7 linked regions of the Sus scrofa genome follow. The protein of the gene in region 1 interacts with the protein of each later gene in a pairwise test. Links are inferred from orthologs where the notes say so. Each region holds a gene or a part of one and is shown in the gene's direction. Other genes may lie near its edges. The genes, in order: FLNA, CASR, HSPB7, FABP1, RFLNA, ADAMTSL4 and KLHL12.

What was found.
Region 2: the proteins of FLNA (region 1) and CASR interact in a two-hybrid assay, tested with the Homo sapiens proteins (2 studies listed by BioGRID). The link is inferred for Sus scrofa from reciprocal best matches to the Homo sapiens genes FLNA and CASR.
Region 3: the proteins of FLNA (region 1) and HSPB7 interact in binary tests that used the Homo sapiens proteins (3 or more experiments, as listed by UniProt). The two-hybrid records come from large-scale screens. The link is inferred for Sus scrofa from reciprocal best matches to the Homo sapiens genes FLNA and HSPB7.
Region 4: the proteins of FLNA (region 1) and FABP1 interact in binary tests that used the Homo sapiens proteins (3 or more experiments, as listed by UniProt). The two-hybrid records come from large-scale screens. The link is inferred for Sus scrofa from reciprocal best matches to the Homo sapiens genes FLNA and FABP1.
Region 5: the proteins of FLNA (region 1) and RFLNA interact in a two-hybrid assay, tested with the Homo sapiens proteins (2 studies listed by BioGRID). The two-hybrid records come from large-scale screens. The link is inferred for Sus scrofa from reciprocal best matches to the Homo sapiens genes FLNA and RFLNA.
Region 6: the proteins of FLNA (region 1) and ADAMTSL4 interact in binary tests that used the Homo sapiens proteins (3 or more experiments, as listed by UniProt). The link is inferred for Sus scrofa from reciprocal best matches to the Homo sapiens genes FLNA and ADAMTSL4.
Region 7: the proteins of FLNA (region 1) and KLHL12 interact in binary tests that used the Homo sapiens proteins (3 or more experiments, as listed by UniProt). The two-hybrid records come from large-scale screens. The link is inferred for Sus scrofa from reciprocal best matches to the Homo sapiens genes FLNA and KLHL12.

Annotation. Positions count from the first base shown.
Region 1 is NC_010461.5:124,888,831-124,892,951, forward strand, and holds the start of FLNA (filamin-A), read left to right. Parts: upstream 1-1,321; 5' UTR 1,322-1,446; intron 1,447-3,010; exon of another isoform or gene 3,011-3,157; intron 3,158-4,092; exon of another isoform or gene 4,093-4,121. UniProt on the Homo sapiens protein: Promotes orthogonal branching of actin filaments and links actin filaments to membrane glycoproteins. Anchors various transmembrane proteins to the actin cytoskeleton and serves as a scaffold for a wide range of cytoplasmic signaling proteins.
Region 2 is NC_010455.5:138,305,842-138,310,071, reverse strand, and holds the start of CASR (extracellular calcium-sensing receptor precursor), read left to right. Parts: upstream 1-1,430; coding exon 1,431-1,615; intron 1,616-4,164; coding exon 4,165-4,230. UniProt on the Homo sapiens protein: G-protein-coupled receptor that senses changes in the extracellular concentration of calcium ions and plays a key role in maintaining calcium homeostasis.
Region 3 is NC_010448.4:75,172,119-75,176,348, reverse strand, and holds the start of HSPB7 (heat shock protein beta-7), read left to right. Parts: upstream 1-1,430; 5' UTR 1,431-1,534; coding exon 1,535-1,730; intron 1,731-2,253; coding exon 2,254-2,387; intron 2,388-3,993; coding exon 3,994-4,173; 3' UTR 4,174-4,230.
Region 4 is NC_010445.4:57,853,400-57,855,430, forward strand, and holds the end of FABP1 (fatty acid-binding protein, liver), read left to right. Parts: exon of another isoform or gene 1-790; coding exon 791-883; intron 884-1,444; coding exon 1,445-1,495; 3' UTR 1,496-1,531; downstream 1,532-2,031.
Region 5 is NC_010456.5:28,824,282-28,827,781, reverse strand, and holds part of RFLNA (refilin-A), read left to right. Parts: intron 1-471; coding exon 472-581; intron 582-2,620; coding exon 2,621-2,954; 3' UTR 2,955-3,500. UniProt on the Homo sapiens protein: Involved in the regulation of the perinuclear actin network and nuclear shape through interaction with filamins. Plays an essential role in actin cytoskeleton formation in developing cartilaginous cells.
Region 6 is NC_010446.5:98,582,756-98,586,255, reverse strand, and holds part of ADAMTSL4 (ADAMTS-like protein 4), read left to right. Parts: intron 1-62; coding exon 63-120; intron 121-434; coding exon 435-775; intron 776-959; coding exon 960-1,638; intron 1,639-1,876; coding exon 1,877-1,979; intron 1,980-3,013; coding exon 3,014-3,150; intron 3,151-3,500. UniProt on the Homo sapiens protein: Positive regulation of apoptosis. May facilitate FBN1 microfibril biogenesis.
Region 7 is NC_010452.4:24,885,982-24,889,481, reverse strand, and holds part of KLHL12 (kelch-like protein 12), read left to right. Parts: intron 1-3,341; coding exon 3,342-3,491; intron 3,492-3,500. UniProt on the Homo sapiens protein: Substrate-specific adapter of a BCR (BTB-CUL3-RBX1) E3 ubiquitin ligase complex that acts as a negative regulator of Wnt signaling pathway and ER-Golgi transport.

The DNA of each region.
Region 1 (4,121 bases):
GGGGGGGGTGTAAAGAGGATTAAAACAGAGATGGGGATTCTGAGCTCCAACCATCCGGCCACCACTTCCTTCCTGCTACCGACTTACTGTACCCCTGGTTCTGATTGCAATGCCCACAGCAGGTGGGTTTCCCTCTTTGAAGGGACAGCCTTGGCCGTGAACTCCAACACAGCCACTTCATGGACCTAAACTCAGGCTCCTCATCTATCAAATGAGGATAACCCGCTGCCTCGAGCTGGCGGGGGTGGGGGGACAGGGCGGTCCCACTAGGCGGAGGGGGGAGAGACAGAGACCACTGCTCGAGATCCCAGCTTGGGTCAAGGTGGAAAGGTCATCGCCGGCAGAGCCGGGAAAGGCAGCAGTGGATGCCGGGAGGCCTGGAAGGCAATCCGCGCCTTCCTGCTAGCTTTGAGCAGTGGATCACCCAAGTCCTTTAGCAGGTGGAACCAGACTCCTTCCTCCCTCCCTCTTCTTTCCTCCGTCTCCGTTTTTGCTTCCCTTCTTCCGTTCCTTCTTTTCTTTCTGTTAATGAGGTAGAATAGAATAGAAAATTTCAGTGCTTTTCTGGTGGTAGGGAGAGTCTCGCTTTGTGAGACATTGCTTTCAGTTATGTGTCACTCTGGGGGTGCGCGGGCAAGTCCTGGCTCAGGACACAAAATGTAGTTCTTATTGGGGGTTGTGGGCAAAATTTGTTAAGACACTGCTTTATGTGACCCTCCCCGAGGAAGAGACATTTGAGCTGAATATGAAGCTACCAGGAAATGGGTACGGAGAAGAGGAAGAGGGAGCTGGCAGTGCCAGGGCGTGGCTGTGCCCACCCGGTCGCAGGGCTGTACCTAACCCTGCTCCCGAGAATTCAGTTCCAGGCCAGGCCTGGCACCCAGTAGGGGCCAAATCAGTGGCAGCCGAAACGCTTGCTCGCTGTGGGGCTCGGGTCCCTGCCCCACTGCGGATTGGATTTTCGGGTGGCAGGGGAACACCTGCGATGGCCTGGCCCCACCCCACCAGCCCAGGCTTGGGGCAAAGGCAGGGGGCCGTGACGGTGGGTGGCTCCCTGGAGGAGGTGGCCTTGGCTGCTGGGCTGAGACGTGGGCCCTGAGGACCCCTTGGGCTCTCGAGGTGAGCCCCCCCTCGCGGGACGCTGAGCTCATCGGGGGTGGGGGGGCGTCGCCAGCGGCCCGGGCGCTTGAGCTCATGGCGCGCCCCCGCGCCCCCCTCCCCGCTCCTGGGCGATTTTACCAATTAAGGCTTTCTCGCCGGGCCGGGCCGGGCCGGGCCGGGCGCGGGCGGGGGTGCGGCCAACAAGAAGGCGGGCGGCGGCGGCCCCTTCGCGTGGAGGCGCGCACGGCGCGCAGCGGACGCCAGTGGAGCCCCGGGCGCCCAGCGCGGGCTCTAAGACCGGCCAGGCGCCACCCCGCGGTCGCCGCCCGCCCGCAGGGACAGCAGGTGAGGCCCCGGCGGCGGGCACCGAACGCGACGGTCGCCGAGCTGCTCGCGGAGCGAGGGCAGGGGTGGCGCAGGCGGGCGGAGAGCTCCAAGGACGCGGGCGCCGGCGCACACCCGGGCCAGGGCCAGGTGCTGCCTCCCCTAGTCCGCGCGGTGACTGCGTCTACGCAGGGGTGTGGGAGCCCAAGGGCACGGGTGTCCCCGAGAGAGGGTGGCTGAGCCTTTGGCAGGCGATGGGCCCCCGTGGGTACCCATGAGCTGGCCGCGGCGGGACTGTCTGGGAAGGAAGAGCCCCGAGGGCAGGACACTGTGTGGGCTGAGGGTCAGTGGCCACCTGGAAGGCCACGTCGCAGTCGGCGCGGCCCTTGGGAGGGCGACAGTGGGTTCCTCGCTGACACTGGTCTGTGGGGCACCAACTGCCTTGGGGACAGGGGGGATGGCTCCTGGGCTGCTGTGCCCCTCCAGACGGGCAGGGGTGTGGCCCGCACGGGAAGCAGGGGCTCCTCCGAACGGCCAGGTTCCCAGGCCGGGCCCTGTCCCAGGTTGGCTCTGAGCTGAATGTTCACCACCGGCCAGGATGGGAGCAGCAACGTCCCCAGATTCCCATGCCACGGGGTCCAGAAGGAGTAGGTGAAGTCCGCTGGCAGAGCCTCCTGCGTGTGTTCAAGGTGTGGCCCTCACCTGCCACACCTGGACGGGCCTGAGCAGCCCAGATGCTGCCACTGCTTGGCTTTCTTCACTAGCCCAAGTGCCCCTGTGGGAGGCTTTGGCCTGGGGTCGGAGGGCCAGGAGTGGGGTGGGAGGCGGGGTGTGTCTAACATCCAAGAATCTACTCCAAATAAGGGAAAATATGAAAGAGCTGGATTTTGGTTTCCAAGGACTGCCCGATCTGGGGGCTTTGGGATGGGGCGCCATCTGGTGGTGATACTCTGTCCCCTAGGAACAAGAACCCTGTACCCCCTACCCAACTCCCTCAAATAGGGACAGCCTAGTGCTGGAAAAGCCAGGGTACCCAGGTCCCGTCCCCCTTTCCGCTGGAGCTGGCTACTGGTCAGTTCCTCTGACTCAGTTTCCCTGCTTTCTGAAGACAAAGGAATTAACGGGGAGGACCCCATTGGATGGCACTTATGGAGTGAAAATCAATTCCTGATGTAGTTCTGTCCTCGGGAACTTGCTTTCCAGGAGGGCAGGAGGATCAGGACAAATGTCATCTCCTCTCGAATGGGGCCTGGTAGGGACAGGTCCCCTTAGAGCCCTCCCTCCCACTTCCATCTCAGTTCCCAGACACCGTGGTGTGGACTTTTGTGCAGGTTGTGTCCAAAAGTGGTCAGAGAGGCAAGCCCCAGACTGAAAAATGCCGTCCGGCTCCCGTACCGCCACCATTGGTGAGGAAAAACCAGCGCAGTGACAGTCAGCCCCCTGAGCGAGCAGGCTGAAGGGCAGGGGGGACGCCAGCTGGGACTGCACCCCGCTGGATGCAGACGCCCAGGGCTGTGCGAGAGTCAACCATATTTGGGCATGACACGCCGACTGACCCAGGGCCTCCTCTCCCACTGGTCTTTAGCAGATAACTTAGTTATTACCAGTCTGCGGCTCAATCTAAGAATCAAGCCGGAGGGACAGACAAATGCCTTTCCGGAAAAAAAGATGTAAAGAAGGGAACATCCTGCAGAGGGGAGGAAGTACGTCTGCTCTGGAGACGAAGCCATGAGTAAGCTGGCTTCTCTTGACTGAAGAGGGTGGCAGGGATGTCCCCGACAGGCCTCTTGACCCTGGGCTTTTGCCGATCTATGTCTCCCCACAGCAACCTCCCACAGTCTCCAGGCATCTACAGAAAACTGATTTGGAGCAAAGAGCTCCCCATTGCCTGGAGACACAGTCCTGGCTCCTGGGCAGGGCTTGGCAGCCTTCCGTGCTTTGCCCCCTGCAGTCCCCTGGCTCCCCTGTCCTGGGGGCCCCCTCGGCACTAACACGGCCACGAAGCCCAGGTGCTCAGAGCCTGCCAAGGCTTCTCGGAACCCCTGAGCAGGTCCCTCGGGGTCCAGAAGGGCGCCATCCCGACAGGACAGGCAACCCCGACTGCCCCGGGTGGGCGGCCGGCGGGTCAGGCGGGCACTCGTCGTCTCCGCACGCGTGCACGCATCGCACGGCGCCCTCTGCCAGTGCCCACTGGCACGCCCGGGCCCCTTCCAAGGCCGCAGGCTCCTGGAGTGCCGGTGGCCTCCTGGCCCAGTGCCCCATTTCCTCCCGGGTGGAGCGGGGAGGGAGGGAGGCGGTGGGGACCGGCAGGCGCAGGTGCGCAGGCCAGGGCCGCGCAGAGCGGGAAGGCGGGCTGGGGCAAGGGGTCTGCGGGGCGGCTGCGGGGTGTCCCGGGCGTGGCGCACGCGCGCAAAGCGCTGGCAGCAGCGCCCGGCCCGGCCCCGCGCTCTCCGAAGGCTCGCCTTTAAGATCGGGCTCCTTCCCGCCGCTGCGGCTGCCGCTGCCTGGGCGGCGGGCTGGGGCGCGGCCAGAGAACCCCACGCGCCGGAGCTCGGGGGAGGAGGGGGCTGCGAGGGGCTGCGGGGGACCGAGGGGAGCCCACGTGACTCAGGGAGGGCGCGCCACCCCACCCCCCGCAGGGGCCTTGGGGAAGGAAAGTCCCTTGTTTGGTTTGCCCGCTGGAGGCCAAGTGGTCC
Region 2 (4,230 bases), on another chromosome or scaffold:
CAATCGACCCACTGAGCGGGTGAGAGAGTATCAAGGGAGAAGAGCAGAGAGTTCCTAGTAGGATAAGCTTGCTAAAGGAGAAGGACTATTCCCTAGATCCAGCTGGAGAGCCTGGGAGAACATAAGCTGACACTTGATTTATCTGCATTCTTTGTCTTTTTGCCACTTCTTGGGCCGCTCCCGAGGTATATGGAGGTTCCCAGGCTAGGGGTCGAATCGGAGCTGTAGCCACCGGCCTACACCACAGCCATAGCAACGCGGGATCCAAGCCGTGTCTGCGACCTACACCACAGCTCAGGGCAATGGTGGATCCTTAACCCACTGAGCAAGGCCAGGGATCGAACCCGCAACCTCATGGTTCCTAGTCGGATTCATTAACCACTGAGCCACGACGGGAACTCATCTGCATTCTTTATAAGAACTCTTCCTCAGAGGTTTATGGAGTATCCTTTACAAACTGGAACCAGAGATCTGGAAATGAGGAGGCCCCCAAAAGGGGGGACTGCAATAATAAATAAAAGTAAGTGGATAAGTAGCTTTTCTGACATTTTTTGTTTGAAGTCAGAATTTAAATTTAAATGTGACTGATTTTCTACTTTCCATAAAAATATATGCACTAAATAAAATAGCATTAATAGTATTATAACACAAGGAACTGCTACCACTAAGCCAGTTCTATGCCTTATACTATGAAAATGAGACTCAAGAATTCCCTTCATGGTGGCTGCTCAGTGGTTAATGAACCTCGCTAGGATCCATGAGGACTTTGGGTTCTTCCTTCAGCTGGTGTTCCACTAAGAAGTTTTCTGAGGAGTTCCCATTGTGGCCCAGTGGTTACCGAACCTGACTAGCATCCAAAAAGACTCAGGTTTGATCCCTGGCCTCACTCAGTGGGTTAAGGATCCGGCGTTGCCGTGAGCTGTGGGGTAGTTTGCAGACGCAGCTCGGATCCCAAGTTTCTGTGGCTGTGGCGTAGGCTGGCGGCTGTAGCTCTGATTCAACCCCTAGCCTGGAAATCTTCATATGCCACAGGTGCAGCCCTAAAAAGCAAAAAAAAAAAAAATGAGACTCTAAGCGATGCCCTCCCCACCTGCTACCCCTTAGCCTCTCTAATTAGAAATTCTGAGCCACTTCTGTAGCAGTCATCGTAAAGACATTGGATTCAGGCTTAGTTGAATTCATTTTCGTCTTTTTTTTTAAAGAAATCTCTACATGATGTGGCTTCTGAAGACTCAAGAACGACCTACCTTACTAGCCTGCAATGAAGAAGGCAGAAATAGAAATTCACACACCACGGTTCCGTCCTGCTATTAATTGCTCTGCAGACATGTGCCCCCACCACAGGGAGTGAGCCACAGCAACGGGGGAAGTTCTCAGGGCCCCCAGACCACCTGCACTCTTGGTCCTCCCCCTGGAGGGAAAGCAGAACTATGGCATTTTCCAGCTGCTGTTGGATCCTCTTGGCTTTGACTTGGTGTACGTCTGCATATGGGCCCGACCAGCGAGCCCAGAAGAAAGGGGACATTATCCTCGGGGGACTCTTTCCTATTCATTTTGGAGTAGCAGCCAAAGATCAGAACCTAGAGTCAAGGCCGGAGTCTGTGGAATGTATCAGGTAAGGGCAGGAACCACCGCAGAGACTCTCTTCTCTTCTAGGTGGTTGGAGAAAAGCTGTACCAAACCCCAAATAATTTTTGCAAAACTCATTCTCTCTGTTCAAAAAATGCTGATTGGTAATCCTGCTGAAGCTTATTTTTCCTCTCCCCCTCAATTTTCTAAAAGAAACTTTTCCAAAACCAAAACATCAAAGACACTGAGTAGAAAAATCTGTAGTCTATTGCTCGGTCCCTTGGTAACTGAGTCATCATTGTTCACTGGGAGGCAGTGTTGCTTAATGGAAGACTAAGTACCTAGAAGGATATTTGTTGTGGGTTTTATAAACCTGAGTAATAAAATTTCCTATTGACCTTAAGTGCTCCAACAGTCATTAATACCTGAGTGCTGGCTGCCTCACTTTTTTTTTTTTTTTTTTTTTTAAGGATTTTAAAGTTGAAAGAAACCTCAGTGGTTGGCATGACCCGGGCATCTTCAAAACACAGCCCATGACATTTTGGAACCACTCCCATTAGAAAATCTCATAGAAGGCAGAAATCCCCTTGCGAACACAGAATCCATCTAACAGAGATGGAGAAACACAGAGTCCAGCCAACTCTCTCACCGGACTCTCTTCAGCCATTTGAAAACAACTAACATGTCCCCTCGAATTATTACTTTTCCAGGCCAAATAGTCTGTTTTCTGAAAAATGATTTCATGACATGATTTCCAGAGCCTCACCATTCTGGTTGCCCTCAATCCGATGTTCCCCAATTTATTACAACTCTTTTAGAATGTGGCATCTAAAACTAGGCACGATTCTTTCAAATAGTAGCTGACTTCCATAGAATACAGGGGGCTATATATCGCCTCCCTCAATCTCAACATCAGAGACCAATACTGCACCCCAAGTCCTGACCCATTTTCTGAGCGAAAAGAGCACTTTCTCTTGAGATTTGCAACTTCCAGAAGGGAGCCAGTACTTCTCCTGATAGCTAGAAAAAGAAAACGAAAAGTAGGATCATTCCAACAAAACTAGATTTCTGCTCAGGTTCTAACGAGGGCTCACAAATCAGATAACATTTTCACATTTTTTTTATGAATGTACAAAAGCTAAGGGTAGAATTTCATTGATGCTGTGTATAGCCTCCACATAACCAAGGTGGACATATACCCTCTTTGTGATACCCTGCTGCACAGAGTTGTGCAAGTGCCACGTACATACCTGGAGATCAAGCAAGGCCTTGCTGTGAAATAATATATTTATCTTGGTAATGTTAAAGAAAGATAGGGAAATCAGTTTAGCTTTATAGATGTTTTATGTAACGAAAAATTCTGTCATTTGTCTTCAAGACTTTGTGGGATTATTTTTATTTTTATTTTTGTCTATTTTTTAGGGCCGCATCTACAGCATATGGAAGTTCCCAGGCTAGGGGTCTAATCAGAGCTGTAGAGGCCGGGCCTATGCCAGAGGCAGGCCAGATCCAAGCTGCATCTGTGACCTACACCACAGCTCAGAGCAACGCCGGATCCTTAACCCACTGAGCGAGACCAGGGATGGAACACGCAACCTCATGGTTCCTAGTTGGATTCGTTTCCGCTGTGCCACAGTGGGAACTCCACTTTGCGGGTTTAAAACAAATAAATAAATAAAGGAAACATGAAGAAAATGACAAAGAGAAAATGGCGCCTTTAGGAACCTAACTGATACAGTGAAGTATAACAGCTTGTATTTCTCTCCTCCTGTCATTGAGTGAAAGTCCTGAAACCCAGGATGCAAAGAGAGAATTTGCAGAGTGGTTAGGTATCTTCTCTGGGCGCTGATACACTGATTCAGAACATTAATCAAACTCTCACTACATGTTATGTCCTGGAAGAGTAAAAACTATGTCACTGACCCTATTTCTCTTTGTTAATCAGCTTGATTTTTATTTAAAATTGTGTTCTTTGAAAAGCAGTGCATGCTCTTTTTTTTAAAGTATAAACAAGATCGAAACACACAGTCTAAAAACTCATCATCCTACCACCCAGGAGTAACGACTGCGTGTGAACAGCCTTCGTGAATGTTTGTTTGTTTGCTTGTTTGTTTCCCTTTCCCCTTCGAACTCCAGGAATGTCATGGTTTAAATTGGTGACTGCAAATCTCAAGTTATTCTTAGGTTCCTACATAGTAAAATCCTAGTCCATTTATATTTTCCCTAGTCCTTTTTGCTTTTTAAAACTCTATTACTTTATTATTAAAGTACCTCATATCAGCTACTTCAAATTCTTTGCTAGACGAGGCAGATACAAATTACTCATTCTATTACTAACCACAATCCTCGTTATTATTGATCCCTGACTGTGTGTCAGGCACCATACTGAGACTTCTGCATAATGATCTCATGTTCTCGCCCACCCCCTGAGGTAAGCATTATCCCCATTTCACACAGAGGACTTGAAGTCTCAAAAAAACAATGTCATGAAACCAGAGTAACAGAGCCACGTACAAACCCAGCTCTGCCCAGTCTGTACTCTAAAGCAGTTGACCAGAAAGCCTCTTGCTTTCTCCCATTTCTTCTCTCTTCCAGGTATAATTTCCGTGGATTTCGCTGGTTACAAGCTATGATATTTGCCATAGAGGAAATAAACAGCAG
Region 3 (4,230 bases), on another chromosome or scaffold:
ACACAGGAAAACCACGCCACACTCAGGTGCCAGGCTGGGCAAACATTGCCAGTACGTCAGACATCTGGGCAGGACCCCCTGTGTGGGCTGAAGCCATCCGAGAGGCCTCCCTGGGGGAAGAGGAACCAGAGCTGATCTGGGGAGGAAGGGCAGGATTTGGAGAGAAGAGCAGAGGCCCCAGGAACCTCCCAGAATAGCCCTCCCCCGCTTCACCCCTTTGGTCCTGCATGATGTCAATCCTGGCTCCACTGGTCCGTGGGTGGGCACAGGAGGGGCTTCTCAGGGTGTTCCAGGCCAGCCAGGCTCCCTACATGAATATTCAGGTCACCCTGGCCTCCTGGAGAGTTTGGATCAAACACGTTTGTGTTCAAATCCCAGCTCTGCCCCTTACCCACGTGCAAGCCCCAGGCTCTCTGTGAGGCTCCATTTCCCTGTCTGTAAAATGGGAAGAAAGAACATCCCCTTCCCAAGAAGGGAGAGGATCAGATGAGGCCCACCTGGAGCCTGGGCCCAGCAGGCACCTCAGGAGTCACAGCTGGAACCACTGTCTTGTGGGGGCCTCCTTCCCCTCTCTCTGCTGAAGCCCTGCCCCCTGCCACCCCCCACATCTCCCCTGAGCTGGAGGTCAAGCGGACCATTCCTAGGAATGTAAGTTTTTAGGTTGCTACCAACCTTTACAGAACTCTCTGCTCTCCTCCCCTGGGTCCAGCCCAACCACCAGCCCTGCCTGAGCTTTCTCGTCTTGGGTCCGTTAATGTTTCCAGAGTCGGGGGGAGGGGGAGGGGGGACAATTATGAAATCTGGGTCCCCGGAGGGGCTGCCAGGGCAACAGTGGCACCTTCTCCACCCCCTCCCCCAACTCAGGGCTGTCTCCGTCCTTCCTAAGAGATGGCTGTGAACATCGCCTGTCCTGCAGGATGAACCCCTCACCTCCCACAGGGGTCCAGCAGGTGGGGGTCCTCTACGCCCCTCTGACCTCTTGACTTGCATTTCCTGTCCTCCCCAGAGTCAGAGGCTTGGGCCCCTCTGTCCTGATCACCTGCCACCCAGATCCCTCTCACCAAGGGCTAGAACTCTGGGGGAGACAGGACAGGAAAGAGAGAAAACCATGTCTTCAAGGAGCTTGCCGTCTGATGGGGGAGACAGAGACAGAAAGCCTGCACACACAAGGTCCCGGGGCAGGGGGGCAGGGGTCTGAGTGGCAAGGGAACAGCATGGGCCCCCACCTCGTTGCCCTGGGAGGCCCCCCATGCGGAGTTATCAGCCTGGAATGCTGGACTGTGAGCTCAGCCTCACAGGCAGCCTGGGCCGAACTGTCAGCAGGGCCGTCTCACTGGAGAAGATTTCCAGCTCCTCTGGGCCATGGAGAGGACTAAATTTAGCTGGTAGACAAGGGGCTGGCCCTGCGCCCAGGGACGGTCGGGCCTTATAAAGCACCGCCGGCCAGGGCCCCGCATGCTCCCCCAGAGCTGGCTGTCCGCACCCTCTCCTGTCCGCCCCTGCGCCCAGCCCGGGCCCGGCCGCCTGCCCGTGGATGAGCCACAGGACTTCCTCCACCTTCAGAGCGGAGAGAAGCTTCCATTCCTCCTCTTCTTCCTCCTCCTCCTCGTCCTCCTCGGCCTCCCACACCCTCCCGGCCCAGGACCCACCCATGGAGAAGGCCTTGAGCATGTTTTCCGAGGATTTTGGCAGCTTCATGCGGCCCCACTCAGAGCCCCTGGCCTTTCCAGGCAAGTGCTTGGGGGCGCTGTGGGGGAGGGGAGGCACACGGGGGAGGGGACACCTGCTCCAGGCCACCACCCCATGCAGCTGCGGCTGCTGAGCTGCTAGGAACAGGTGCTGCACAGCTGCAGGGCCACCAGGACAGATGTGGCCCCAGGCAGGCCTCCCAGGAAGCGCTCTGGCCTGGGGGTCAGCTAAGGTGCCAAGGGCCAAAGGCCCTGTGGCCAGGCCCTCTCTGGAGCCCCGGAGAGCTGCATGTGTTGGGGGGGCGGGCAAGGTGCATCCCCAGTCCAGGCCTGGGACGAGTGGCTATGGACAGTGTCATATACCGGTGCCGAGTAAGGCCCTTCCCCACCTTGGGAGAGGTGGCTTTCGAGAAATGAGGAGGGACGGCCAGGGCAGCTGAGGAGCCACAGTTGAGAGGGAGGTCAGGCCTGGGGGGCCGCCCCTTCCCCAAGGAGAAGGAGCCAGAAACCTTCCTCCTGGGTGCCAGCCTGCCCTGTGCTCAGCTCACAGCAGCCCTCCCCACAGCCCGCACCGGGGGGCCTGGCAACATCAAGACCCTGGGCGATGCCTACGAGTTTGCAGTGGACGTGAGTGACTTCTCACCTGAAGACATCATTGTCACCACCTCCAACAACCACATTGAGGTGCGAGCTGAGAAGGTGAGCCCGCCCCCTCCCCTAAGACTGGGGGCTCCGCACAGGTACCTTCTGTCCAGCATCCCCACTCTCATGTCCCATCCTGGGACCTTGCACCCTAACCAGTGCCCCCTAAAACTTCAGGACAAACTGGGGGCCTTGCTCCTGTAGCCACGGGGCCCCCTTTACTGCCGCTCTCTGCCTGGAGGCTTCCAGATCCTCCTTTAAATTTTATTTTATTTTTGAAGTGTAGCTGATTTACACTGTTGCATTCCCAGATCCTTTCTTCAGGAGCCCAGGGCAGCAGAAGAAGCCACAGGGGATGGGGGGCGGCGGGAGGAGGCAGAGGGTGGGGCACCTGAGGCTGGGAGGAGAGGGGAGGTGAGAGGAGGTGAGAGGTAAGAAGGGGAGGTGAGAGGAGGTGAGAAAGGGAGGTGAGAGATGAGGAGGTGAGAGGTGAGAAGAGGCAGGAGAGATGAGAAGGGGCAGTGAAAGATGAGAAGGGGAGGTGGAGTTCCCGTCGTGGCGCAGTGGTTAACGAGTCCAACTAGGAACCATGAGGTTGCGGGTTCGATCCCTGCCCTTGCTCAGTGGGTTAACGATCTGGCGTTGCCGTGAGCTGTGGTGTAGGTCTAAGATGCAGCTCAGATCCCACGTTGCTGTGGCTCAAAAAAAAAAAAAAAAAAAAGAGAGAGAGAGGGGGACGTAAGAGGAGGTGAGAGATGAGAAGGGGGGGTGAGAGGAGAGCTCTTCCCTCAGGTGTGTGGTCAGGTGGGGGGCTCACCTGGGCGGCTAGGGGGAAGGAGCTCCCCCATGGGACAGCCCTCAAGCCGTCTTCCCTCTTGGACCCCAGAATGGAGCTCAAGGCTAGGCAGCAGCCCTGCAGTTCAAGGTCACACACACTCCAAACCCCACAATTCTTCTGCCCATGGATCTCAGGGTCACTGTGTCACTAGGGCCTCTACGTCCTAACTCCCAGGAGACTTGCACCCTCGAGGAGGGTGTGGCCCTGGCTGAGGAGGGGGGCTGCCCCCAGCGGGTTAGAGCCACAGCTGCTCCTTAGAGAAGAGGGTAGGCCCAAAGCTACCCCACCGGACAGCCCAGCTTCTTTCTCCAGCATGGGAGGATGCCCTGCACCTCCATCGGGGAAGCCAGGGACTATGGGCACCAGGACCAGTGGGCAGCATGTGGCAGCCCTGCCACCCCCACCAGTGACTCAGCCGCCCCAGGCTCTTCTGGACACCATGTGCTGGCTGGGTCGTGGGGGAGGGGCTGCCAGCCCAGCCCCGGAGGTGGACACCAATGTGTCTGGGTATCCAGGAGGGCTCGGCTCTGCTCTGTGCCTTCTCCTGTCACACAGGAGCCCCAGATTCTGCCACCAAGCCTCCTCTCCTTCGGAGCTCCCCCACCAACCCCTTGCCTTTCCCCTGGGACCACTGGAGCGCCGCTGAGCATCTTTGCGCCCATCCTACCCTGGCCAGCCCCTAGGCAGGGCCTCTGCACCTAAGAGCAGAACCTCTCAGCACATGGGAGCCCAGCTGGGGTTAGACGGCGCAGCCGGGGCTGCGGCCTGTCGTGAGCAGTACAAGGGTGGGGGCCAGCCTGCCCTGACCCATCACCCCTTCCCCAGCTGGCAGCTGACGGCACCGTCATGAACACCTTTGCTCACAAGTGCCAACTGCCAGAGGATGTGGACCCCACATCGGTGACCTCGGCCCTGCGGGAGGACGGCAGCCTCACCATCCGGGCCCGGCGCCAACCACACACGGAGCACGTCCAGCAGACCTTCCGGACGGAGATCAAAATCTGAGGGCCCTCCCCTCCCCGGCCCTGCCCCCACCGCCCTCTCCTCTCCCCCACTGGGCTG
Region 4 (2,031 bases), on another chromosome or scaffold:
ATTTTCTTCCACGCCCACAGTAAGGGGCAGGCCATGATGGGTTTTACCACAGGCCTTTTCCAATGGCCCTTTATGGAGGCAAAGCTTTAAACTTGGCCAGTGTCTTCTCCCTGCTGGGTTTCCGTTATCTCTTGCTGGGTGCATGAATAAGAGACCACAATAAGGAAAGATAAAGATGGTGGAATGAATAATTCATACCAACCAAAAATATGTGTCCTCCCAGCTGGCCAGTATTTTGAATTTTGCTACTCCCTCCCTCCATTTGCTTGGAGAATTGCAAGGTTACTAGAGTTTATTCTAATGTTTGCTTTTGAGACCACTTAGCGGTCCTATGTGGATACCTAGATCACATCCCATAAATGAAAAGCCTGACAAAGGAACCACCGCCATTTTCTTTAGTTCTTTATTATTATTATTATTATTTTTTTTTTTTTAGTGCTGTACCCATGTCATATGGAAGTTCCCAGGCTAGGGGTCACATTGGAACTGTAGCTGCTGGCCTACACCACAGCCACACCCACTGAGCGAGGTCAGGAATTGAACTCATATCCTTATGGATACTAGTGGGGTTCGTTCCAGCTGCGCCACAATGGGAACTCCAGATTTTCTTTAGTTCTTAAGGCCCCTCATTTCTATTCAGAGCCAGAGCACAGGGAGGGGCCATGTCACACAAAGCCGAGAGGTTTGGTTGCCATCATCAGAGACCTACACAGGGAAGCCAACCTCACTGGTAAGAGGTTTACCCTCTTGCAGACCCTTCCTCACAGTTCCTTTCTTCTATCCCCTGCAGACAGTGGTTCAGTTGGAAGGTGACAATAAACTGGTGACAACTTTCAAAGGCATCAAGTCTGTGACTGAACTCAACGGTGACATAATCACCAGTGTAAGTTGGTGCCCAGAGCTTGTGACTCCTAGCGCTGGGGGTGGGGGGTGGGGTGAACGTGAGGGAAGCCAATGTCCTTTGATATGCCCATGGCTCCTAAGCCTCCCATCTCTTGCGTGGGAGGCAGGATGGGGGATTTCATTGGCAAGTTGACTTGTCCAAGGTCATCCAGCTAATGAGTTACAGAATCAGGGGTCAAACATAGATCTTTCCTTTCCATTTCATTGCTGTTGAGGTTAAGAGGCTGCTTTTTTACTCTGATGACACTACTCCCTCATCATTGCCACAGTCTTATTCCAGAGGATCAGCAGGAGAGAGGGGCTGGGGGATAAAGGAGCATCCTTCAAAAACTCCAAAACTTTATAAATCAACTAAATTTTTTTTTTAAATAATGGAAAAAACCTCCAAAATCTATGCATCCAATGCATCTAATGTTTCCATAGTCTTCGCAGCTTTGGGAGGCAAATTATGCACTACTTACTGTGTGTTAGCATATGAGGGGCTTAATTTTCCTTTACAATTCAACCTCAGGTGAACGTTTCATGATTTCTTTTCTTTCAGACCATGACACTGGGTGACATTGTCTTCAAGAGAATCAGCAAGAGAATTTAGACAAGTCCGCATTTCATAGTCTTATATCATGTAAAATTAATGCAATAAAGTGAACTTTCTTTTTCAAAAAGATGTCTTTTCTTCATGATGGCTTTTCATTGATGGTGCTATTTATTGAGCACCTATCACCTCTATTTTTGTGAACCTTGTTGATCTGCATGTTCCATCCTGCTGGGTCAGGTCTGAAGGGTGATTCTCGTCTTGAAAGCAGATCCCAGGCTGTCCATTGGGTGACCCTATGAAGAACACATGATGTGGCTGGGTGTGTCTGTAGAGTAGCTGTGGAATGACCTTTGCCGGTCAGGCACATGGCAGGGAGCTGGAGCAAGAGGGTGTGCTGTGTGTTGGGTCACTCCCGGGCAAGAGGGGGCGGGGGGAGTAGGAACACTAGACAGGCAAAGGGGAGCTATGCTCACAGTGACCCCATTCTCCAGGGGACATGAACAAAAAGAACAGGCACTGACCCACCAAATGAACAAGTCTCTTTCCTAGAGGAGAGCTGGTAGGGGAGCTTAGCAGAAGGTGCCAGAAGTGGA
Region 5 (3,500 bases), on another chromosome or scaffold:
GTCCCCTTATTGCGATGCCTGGGAACTGGGGGGCAGGCATGGTGGGGCGCCATAGGCATCTGAGTGCTTGGATTCCACAGAAGGATACAGGCATGGGCTTTTTTATTTATTTATTTATTTTTTCTTTTCTTTTTTTTCCTCCGTTTTCTTTTTTGGCCGCTCCATGGCATATGGAGTTTCCCAGGCCGGGGATCAGATCTGAGCTGAAATTGCAACCTACACTGTCAGTGCCAGATCCTTTAACCCACTGTGCTGGACTAGGGATCGAACCTGTGTCCGGGTTCTGCGGAGATGCCACTGATCCTGTTGCACCACAGTGGGAACTGCTGGGGTGGGCTTCTTGATGGTTCCCACAAAGCAGACTAAGCTGGGGCTGGAGGGTGCAGGGTGACCCTTTTGCCCGGCAGAGAGCTGAGGCTGCAGTGGTGAAAGGCTGCTCTTGTGACCCTGTGTCCCTGACTCTCCCCATAGCCCCCTGCCCTCCCCCCAAGTGCCCTGGCTCGAGAGATGAGGCCCCGGATGCTGCCTGTGTTCTTTGGGGAGAGCATCGAAGTGAACCCTGAACCCACACACGAGATCCGGTGAGTGGGGCTGCTTGGCCGGGTGGGGGTGGGGCAGGGGCTGGTCCTGACCCCCTAGAGGGTAGGGGAGGCCAGGCTAGGGGGCTCCCCTCCCTTAGGCAGCCCCTCTGGGCACCGCACCCTGAGGAGGCACAGCCATGATTCGAAGAGACTCTGTTCCCAGGCAGCCTTCCCTGTCCCCTGTCCCCCATCCCCCGTCCCAGGCTCACATTCGGCCATTTATTTGCACACTAACCTTCACCTCCAACCGGGCTGATTTAATTTTATTATTTTACTTTTTTTTTTTTTTTTTTTTGACTGTGCCTGAGGCACCTGGAAGTCCCAGGGCCAGGGATCGAACCCACACCATAGCAGTGGCCTGAGCCACAGCAGTGACAATGCTAAATCCTTAACCTGCAGAGCCATCAGGAAACTCCTGATTTTTATTTCAAATCCAATCACCCAGAGAGTTTGGAAAACAATCAACATAACCCCTCACACACCTAATGCAACTCCCTCTCCCCTCCCGTCCTGCCAGGTTTTTAGGGATCTGTAACCAAACTCTATGGGCAAACCAGGACCCTCTTTCCCACTCAGTGTTTCCCTCAGAGTGTGTGAACACTGCATCCAGGTGACTGTAATTTCGCACCTTTATCTCCCAAGGAGCCCACTTGTGTATTAGGTGCCCTCCCACGTGGAGGCATCTCAGGTGGCACCTGGCCTTCTGTGTTCAGGCGTTTCCCATCCACAGCTTTCCTCCAGCCATCTGCCCTCCTGAGAAGCCTTCTGGGGGTCAGGCTTCCAGAAGATGGAGTCTCGGGTCTTTGGGTCTCACCCGCGTACCCACGGGGCTCTCAGGATGGATTTGTCCATGTCATCCTGGGCAGCCAGGAGGTGACGCGCACTGCCTCCTGCTCCTCTGGCTCTGGATATGGTCCCCGGAAAAAAACAGGTCCACTTTATAGGTTTCTCTTCCCAACAAGCTCTCCTTTTTAGTTTTTATTATCAGAGGTCCCAGCAGGAGTGGCAAGAGCTGCCTGGGCCCTGAGGACCACGGCTTCCCTTCCCAGATGGATCACCTGCAGGGTGCGGTCAGGATGGGACAGGTGAAGTCCCCGCCCCCTCCCTGGAGCTCTTCCTTCCAGTGCAGTTCTCTGGGAGCAGAGCTGGGGGACAAGGCGCGGTAGGTCCCTCGGGAGTGGGTCACTTATCTTGAGGTGCTGAGGCTACTTTGGGAGAAATTTATTTTGATAAAATTTCAAATTTATGGAAAAATCACAGGAAGAGTACAAGGAACAGAGTTCCCGTTGTGGCTCAGCAGGTTACAAACCCGGCTAGTATCCATGAGGACTCGGGTTTGATCCTTGGCCTCGGTCAGTGGGTTAAGGATCCAGCGTTGCCACGAGCTGTGGTGTAGGCTGCAGACATGTCGTGGATACCACATTGCTGTGTCTGTGGCGTAGGCCTGAAGCTGCAGCTTTGATTTGGCCCCCGGCCTGGGAACTTACAAATGCCATGGGTACGACCCTAAAAAACAAAAACAAAAACAACAACAACAAAAAAGAATACAAGGGACCTCCCATAAAATAGATTCATTGGTTCTTCTCGTCTTGCCCTGTTGGCTTGAATATTTGCTCGCGATCTCATTCTCCAGACACGAAACATTTTTTTCTGAACCATTTGGGATGTTGGTGACACGCTGACCTTGAACCCTGAAATACTCCAGCTGGTGTCCTTCCTAAGAACAGGGACATCCTCTCCCATAATGACAGTCCACTTGCCAAAACTGGGACAGCTAAAGTGCAAACACCACCACTGCCCAGTCAGATTCCACCCATGGCCCCCAAATGTCCTTTTAGGGCCTATTTTTATGCCAGTTCAGGATCCAGCCAGGGTCACGAGTGGCACTTAGTCATCATGCCTCTTGAGTCTCCTCCAGGCCGGCTCGGTCCCTCAGCCCTTCTTTGTCCTTTTGACCTTGGCATTTCCGAAGAGCCTGGGCGGTCCATGTTGTTCACGTGGGGGTCCTGGGCTCACCCGCATCCTCCCGCCCTCCTCAGCTGCAACTCGGAGGTCAAGTATGCCTCAGAGAAGCACTTCCGGGACAAGGTCTTCTATGCTCCGGTGCCCACGGTCACCGCCTACAGCGAGACGATCGTGGCAGCGCCCAACTGCACTTGGCGCAGCTACCGCAGCCAGCTGACCCTGGAGCCCCGGCCCCGCGCGCTGCACTTCCGCAGCACCACCATCATCTTCCCCAAGCACGCCAGCAGCTCCTTCCGCACCACCCTGCACCTCAGCCTGGGCCGGCCCCGCCGCTGGTTCACGGCCAGCGTGCAGCTGCAGCTGTGCCAGTGCCCTGGACCCAGCCTCCTGGGCCCTGCCGCGCTCTGATGGGTGGCCAGCCCTGCTGCCGGAGGACGGACTCTGCAATCACGATCGGTGGGCCGGAAGCTGGGGCCGGAGGGAGGTGGGAGGCCTGGCCGACTGCCTGGCCCGCTCCCCCGGCAGCATCCTGTCTGGTCTGCATGGCCAACTAATCAACACAACTATCTTATTAGCACCTACACAGCATGAGGCAGCGGGGGCCTGGCTGCTGGCCCACGAGGAGCACCTGGTGGGTAGGCAGTGGCTGTCCCGATGGGCAGGGAGAGGAGACATGGGCAGGGAGAGAAGGAGACGTGTGTCCTTGGCTGCCCTTGAAGCGGGGGACACCCTGAGTGCTGGCAGGAGGGAGGTGTCCCAGCCTTGGCTGGAGGTGGGTGCTCTTTAGCACCTGGGCCCCCCACCCCGCTGCCCCAGCTCCCAGGCTGCATGTGAGGGCAGAGGGGTGTCATCCAGGCACCACCACATGCTCCTGGAGAGGGCTGTTTCCGGAGCCGGACTTTGAACTGTGTGCAGCTGAACACCCAGAGCCGTGGCTTGGCAGCCTCTGTCGGA
Region 6 (3,500 bases), on another chromosome or scaffold:
GAGCCCACTAGGGGTGAGGGGTGGTGTCAGACAGCACCTTCACTCCTGCCTTTGGTTTGCAGGCCCGGGTTGTGTCTGATGCTGCTTCTGTCCCTCCCTCAGCTCTGCCTGGATCAGGAGGTGAGCAGGGGACTAGAGGCTGTGAACCTTCCTCTCCCTGTCCCCCCCCAGCCCTGCAGTCTCCAGACAGACCACGTCTCCATTTTCCAAAGCCTCTGGCAAGCCATGGCCCCTTTCTCTCACGCTTGGCCCTCCCAGCATCCCCAACACCCTAACTCCTTGCCAAATAACCTCAAGTCCTACCTCTGCCACTGAATGTGACCTTGGGCCAGTAACAACTGCCCCAACCTCCAGCTTTGGACTGGATATTCTGTACAGATATTCTGTACCCTCGAAAATCATTCTAATTTCGTTTAAATTTTTGGTCTACACAGGTGTTGTCTGGACACTCACTTCAGACACCCCCTGAGGAGAGCCAGGGCCCCGAGGGTGTCTGGGGTCCTTGGGACCAGTGGGCCTCTTGCTCCCAGCCCTGCGGGGTGGGGGTGCAGCGCAGGAGCCGGAAGTGTCAGCTCCCTGCAGCTCACCTCCACCAGGGCCGGCCCCCAAGACATCCAGAAGGCCTGCTCCCCCGGGGTCAAGGCCCTAGACCTCAGACTTCCCGAGAAACCCTTCCCCTGTACAGGCCACCGCCTCGGGGAAGAGGTGGCCCCTTTCGAGGTCCTGCTTCTCAACTAGGGAGAGAGGAGGCCCGGGAGACTCAAGGAGCCAGGAGGTGAGGGGTGGCGCTTTGAGGGGAGAGGCGGGGCCTTGGGCAAGGGGCGGGGCCTGGGATGAAGGCTAGTGGAGCAAAAGATCCAGGCTGAGAAAGGCTTATCTTTGGTGCTAGGAAGTAGACTGGGGAGGCAGCGTCGGAGATGACCAGCTCTGTGACCCCGTGTCTGCAAACACCTTCTCAGGTCCCGGGTTCGAGACCCCATCAAGCCAGGAATGTTTGGCTATGGGAGAGTGCCTTTTGCTTTGCCGCTCCATCGGAACCGCAGGCACCCGCGGAGACCACTCAGATCTGAGCTCTCGCAGACCTCAGACCTTCCATCCCTGATGCCAAGAGCAGTGCCATCCTCTGCAAACCACACCCCGCAAACTGAACTTCCTCCCACAGCACCGTCTGCCCCTGCCCGGTCCCCCCCAGCGGACTCCCCAAGTCCCGAAGCTGCTCAGACAGAGGTGCCCTCTAGAACCGAGCCTGCCCCCACAGGGCCCCACCCCAGTACCCGGGCCTCAGTCACAGGGCCCTCTTCTCCACCACCCCCAGGAGAAGGGCGCTCCTTTCACGCATCTCCTCAGCCAAGAAGGCCAGGTTCCCAGGGTGGGGCCAGTCCCCAGCTGGCAGAGAGACACCCTCATCCTTTCCTTTCTGTCCCTCCGGGCCGAGGCCAGCAGAGCCCGGAGCGCTGGAGACCTGGGGGGGATCGGCTCAGGTCCCTCACCGAGTCTGCCCCTCACCACCCCCATGGCTGGTTGCCTCTGCTGAGTACCGGCCCTCACTCCAGCTCTCTCTGGAGTCTCTTTGCTCCCAGTAGCCCTGTCCCAAGATGTTCTGGGGAGAGTGAGCAGCTGAGAGCCTGCAGCCAAGCGGTGAGTTCTTTTTGGACCCCTCCCAGACTTCCGTTCTGCTTCCCTGCCCTTGAGTCTGGGTTCTCTGCCTGTCGGAGCTGGACCTGAGGGAGAAGGGCCTTGGCATCCGGCCTCCTCGGGGTAGGGGCCTTGGAGCTCTGCCACAGACCTGACCTTCCTCCCTATCCCCCAAATCCAGCCCTGACCCACACCCCCATTTTCCTCCCCAGCTTTGACTCCTCTGTATCCCCCACCTCAGCCCTGCCCCCCTGAGCAGCCAGATCCCCGGGCCCTGCAGTGTGCAGCCTTTGACTCCCAGGAGTTCATGGGCCAGCTGTACCAGTGGGAGCCCTTCACCGAAGGTGAGGTTTCTAGCCCACCCCCCCGGAGAGGGGGACTTAAGGCTGGGGGAGGAGGCGGGCGAGACACTCAGCCCTTCTTGTTCGCCTCTGTAGGCTCTGTATTTCTCCTGAGCCATGTTCTTTTCCCCAGGGCTGGGGAATAGAGACAGAACGGGCCCAGAAGGGGGCGAGGTTTCAGACAGGGCCCCAGCTGTCGGAGGGGGGACAGATGGTCAGCGGAGGGGTCAGTCTGGGAGAGGGATGTATCCAGAGGTGCCCTTTGGCTGGTGTCCTCTGGGGAGAGGAAGGAGATGGGGTGGACACGCCATGAGCTGGGTGTGGGCAGAGCGATCCTGTCCAGTGGTGACAAGGTGGGTGCGGGCGCCCCATGGATCCTGTACAGGGTTATATCACTTTCTTCCAAGTGGCCATCCATTTGATTTTAAGCCCTGTCACCTTGATATCAAGACAACCCCTCCTGAGCTGTGAACTCACATAATCATGGTTTCAAGCATCTCTGTTCTCAGAGTTCACAACCCTTTTTCTGGTCTCAGTAACCTCAGTTGATCTGAACCAACTTTTAAAATATTTATTTATTTATTTATTGCTTCTCAGGGCTGCAGGTGTGGCCTATGGAGGTTCCCAGGCTAGGGGTCGAATTGGAGCTATAGCTGCCAGCCTACGCCACAGCCACAGCAACCTGGGATCAGCAACCTGGGATCCGAGCCACGTCTGCAACCTATACCACAGCTCATGGCTCCCCTGGATCCCCGACCCACTGAGTGAGGCCAGGGATAGAACCCGCATCCTCATAGATACTAGGGGTTTGTTCCATGGAGCCACAGCGGGAACTCCTGAACCAACTTTTGTGTGACCCTCAAGCTGCCCTTTCAGAGGACAGAATTGTCGCATTTCCTTCATCCACAGTGACCTTGGCAACCTCAGGACGCTCTGTAGCTGATATAAGCCAAGCTGCTCTCAGGGCCCTGGGATCTTTCCTAGTTAACATCCCCTCCTGGGACCCCAGCTAACTACCCTTCTACCCTGTCTCTTAGTTCAGGGTTCCCAGCGCTGTGAACTGAACTGCCGTCCCCGTGGCTTTCGCTTCTATGTCCGTCACACTGAAAAGGTCCAGGACGGAACCCTGTGTCAGCCTGGAGCCTTAGACATCTGCGTGGCTGGCCGCTGTCTGGTGAGGGAGGATGGGGCGTGAGCTTGGGGAGGTGGGCAGTGTTCATTTCCTAATAAGTACTGCAGGCACACACCCAGTCTCCTTGCTCAGTATCACAATGGCGAAATATTCGGCTGAGATTGCAAAGAGGGAAGTTCTTACCTGCCCAGCTGGGCCGAGCAGACCCAAGGGGTGAACTGCAAGACAGACCCCCCCCCCCAGGCCCCTTGAGCTTCTCGGAGGCTGGCTGGGGCTGGTGGGACTGACAAAGAAACACAGTCTCACTTGAGTGCTAAGGTCAAGACACTCACCGAGCTGAAGGCTCCCAAGAGAACTGGGCCAGGTGTGAGGTGGGGGCTGGCTTCCAGCAG
Region 7 (3,500 bases), on another chromosome or scaffold:
AACAGGCAACTGAACTGGACACTGGACCTTTAACCCACTGCACCAGGCCAGGGATTGATTCCCAGACTCTGCAGCAGCCGGAACCACAGCAGTTAGATCCATAACCCACTGTGCCACAGCAGGAACTCCCTCATTAGTTTGTTTCTATTTAACCAAGATCGCAGCAGCCATTTATTTTAAAATGTGTAGACTTTGGGATAACACTAGTTGGAACAGGGAGGGCAGATAACTGACCTATTCAGAAGCTGAGATGAACTCTGTTGTATAGTTTTTCTTAAGTGTCTGGTGAGACTGGCCTTTGCTTTCTTCCAGCACATGGCATTTGTTCCCTCTTTCATATACCAGCCAGAGTAGGAGCTAGATGTCTGACTCTCTTGCTGACACTGCCTCTCAGTAGTACTTAAAACAGTGGGAAACAGTAAGTCATATTATTTAAGACAACATGGGCTTTAGAAGAGTTCCCTTGTGGCTCAGCAGGTTAAGGATCTGGCGTTGCCATTGCTGTGGCTCTGGTTACAGCTGTGGTGCAGGTTTGGTCCCTGGCCCCACAGCTTCCATATGCAGTGGGCACAGCCAATAAAATAAACAAAAAATAACGTGGGCTTCAGAATCGCACTGGCGTTTAGGTTTGGCTAGGTGACGATACCTAACCACCCATCCTCAGTTTCTCTTGCATAAAGTGTAGGTAAGAGTTGTACTCACTACGCAGGCTGTTCTGAGCCTTAAATAAGAGTGACAGTGCTTGGTGCATAAAAGAATTCTCTCTGTGAAAATTTATTATGGGGAAATTTCTCTCAACAGTGAAGCATTAACATTGAGGGATTTTCCTCCCGGTTGAGCTCTCTGCAATTCTAGTTTATCCTGTCTTCGGAAAGATCAAGGGAGTTCCCATCGTGGCACAGTGGCTAACGAATCTGACTAGGAACCATGAGGTTGCGGGTTCGGCCCCTGGCCTTGCTCAGTGGGTTAAGGATCCAGCGTTGCCGTGAACTGTGGTGTAGGTTGCAGACACGGCTCAGATCCCGAGTTGCTGTGGCTGTGGTGTAGGCCAGCACCTACAGCTCCAATTAGACCCCTAGCCTGGGAACCCCCATATGCCGCAGGTGCAGCCCTAGAAAAGGCAAAAAGACAAAAAAAAAAAAAAAAAAAAGATCAAGGACCTCTGCTCAGGATTGAAATCCCCCTCCCTTGTTTTTGGCCTCGACTGCAGCATGCAAGAGTTCCCAGACCAGGGATTGAACTCACACCACAGCAGTGACAGTGCCAGATGGTTAACCTGCTGAACCACCAGTGGGTGAACTTCTGGAGGGGGGGAGAGCATTTTAAATTGGTATGTCTAATTTAAACCTAGAATGTGACAGAGTCTAGCATGCAGATGTTTAGAACTGTTAGCGCGTCGTCCTTGTCTTTAACAGATGTTTGTTTAAAACGCCATGGACCCCCTTCTGCACCCTTGCCTGCATTTCATCCACCAGCAGTCTGGGTTAGTTTAACCTCTCAAATTTCTGTCACCACTGCCATAGTGTAAGCATCAGATCCTTTTGCCTAATGGATCAGAGTGGCTTCTAACTGGTCTCCTGGCGCTTGGCCCTTCTAAACCATTCTACCCGTGGTTGTCAGAGTTATCTTTACAAAACACTGCTGTGATCATATTTGAGGCCTGCTTGAAGCCTTTAATGGCTTCCAGCTGCTCTTAGAGTAAAATCCAGTCCTCTGATGCTCTGTTTATTTCTCCAGCGTCATCTTTTTTGTACCATCCTTCCTTCACTGTCGCACTAGCCTCTTATTTCCCAAGCTGTCCAGTAGAATGCTCTGTGAAGACGGAATGGGTCAGTGGCCTCTAGCCACATGTGGCTACTGAGCACTTGAAATGTGGCCAGTGTGAGTGAGAAGCTGAATTTTACTTAGTGTGAATGCGAATAGCCACGCATGTGGCTCACAGCTCCTATATTGGATTGTGCAGTAATAGGGCTTTGCATGTGCTTTCTGTCTGCCATGGAGAACTCTCTTATTCCCTGTGGCTAATCCCTACTCACCCAGCGGATTTAAATCTATCACTTCTGCAGGGAGGCTTTCCCCGACCCATTAAGCTCAATGAAGAAGTCTCACGTTATTCTGTCTCAGAACCCCTGTGCTTTTCCTGTACGTATATCATGACAAAGTGGGGATGTTTGTTTTTCTGATGTAACAATTGTCTCTCTGTTTAAGAGAAAGGTTCATGTCTGATTTGCTCACCATTGTATAATTAGCACCCAGCACAATTCCTGGCACTTAGTAGATGTTTAGTAAATCCATCGAATGAGTGAATATTCTGGAACAGTTCCGTGTTTTCAGTTCTTGAGAAAAGTCCACAGAATGGTTTCTGTGTCTGGGCCCTGAGACCCTCTGAAGGGCAGCTCTCAGAGCAGACACACTCCAGGGCTGGCGGGAGAGACACAGGCCTGTTTTTGAGGTGTGGGCCTCGGGGAGGTCGTAGGTGTTATCCTAAGTGGTGCTCTTCTGGGGGCGTATGGGTGTTTTAGGGTGTGTCTGCCTTACCCATCTGTGGAATGCAGCTTAGACCTAAGTTCCCCAAATGATTAATGACGTATATCATCACAGACAGCACGTGCCTAATCCAGAGTAGCTCAAATACCAGTTGATGGCACTTGGAGGACTGAGCATTGCCTACTGTGTCAGAGGGAAGTTCCTGCTTCACAGGCTTGCCTGAGGAGTTGGGGAGCAAGCCTGAAGGTCCTTAGCCAACACCTGCAAATAAAAGTTATTTTAAGAGCCAGTCTTGGAGTTCCCATTGTGACGCAACAAAAACGAATCCGACTAGGAACCATGAGGTTGCAGGTTCGGTCCCTGGCCTCACTCAGTGGGTTAAGGATCCGGCATTGCTGTGGGCTGTGGTGTAGGACGGTGGCAACAGCTCCAATTAGACCCCTAGCCTGAGAACCTCCATATGCCTTGGGTGCGGTGCTAAAAGGACCAAAAAAAAAAAAAAAAAGCCGGTTTGGGGGCAACAGATTCCCCCTCCTCCTCCTAAAGCTTCAGAAATGACCAGAAAAAACAATATCAAGAATGGGGAAAATTCTGACATAAAAGCTGATTTGTGACTGATTGTCTATTATGTACTATTGCTCTTAGATTTTTTTTTTTACCCAATTTGATTATAACCTTTTTCATGATACTAGCAAGTTGTGTCTGAAAGAATTTGTTTTCCCAAGAGCCTGGCTGTTTCTGGAAGATGGGAAGTGGCGGGGCGGGAAGGAACGAGAAGGTCGGCGGGGTTACTTGTTGAGACTTGAGACGACAGGAAGGGTGGAGGAGGCCCTGATGGTCCTGCACGCTCACAGGTGGATTCTGAAGAGCCGGTCTTCGAGGCCGTCATCAACTGGGTGAAGCACGCCAAGAGGGAGCGGGAGGAGTGCCTGCCGGACCTGCTGCAGTACGTGCGCATGCCCCTGCTGACCCCCAGGTACATCACGGACGTCATAGATGCCGAGGTGAGTCCC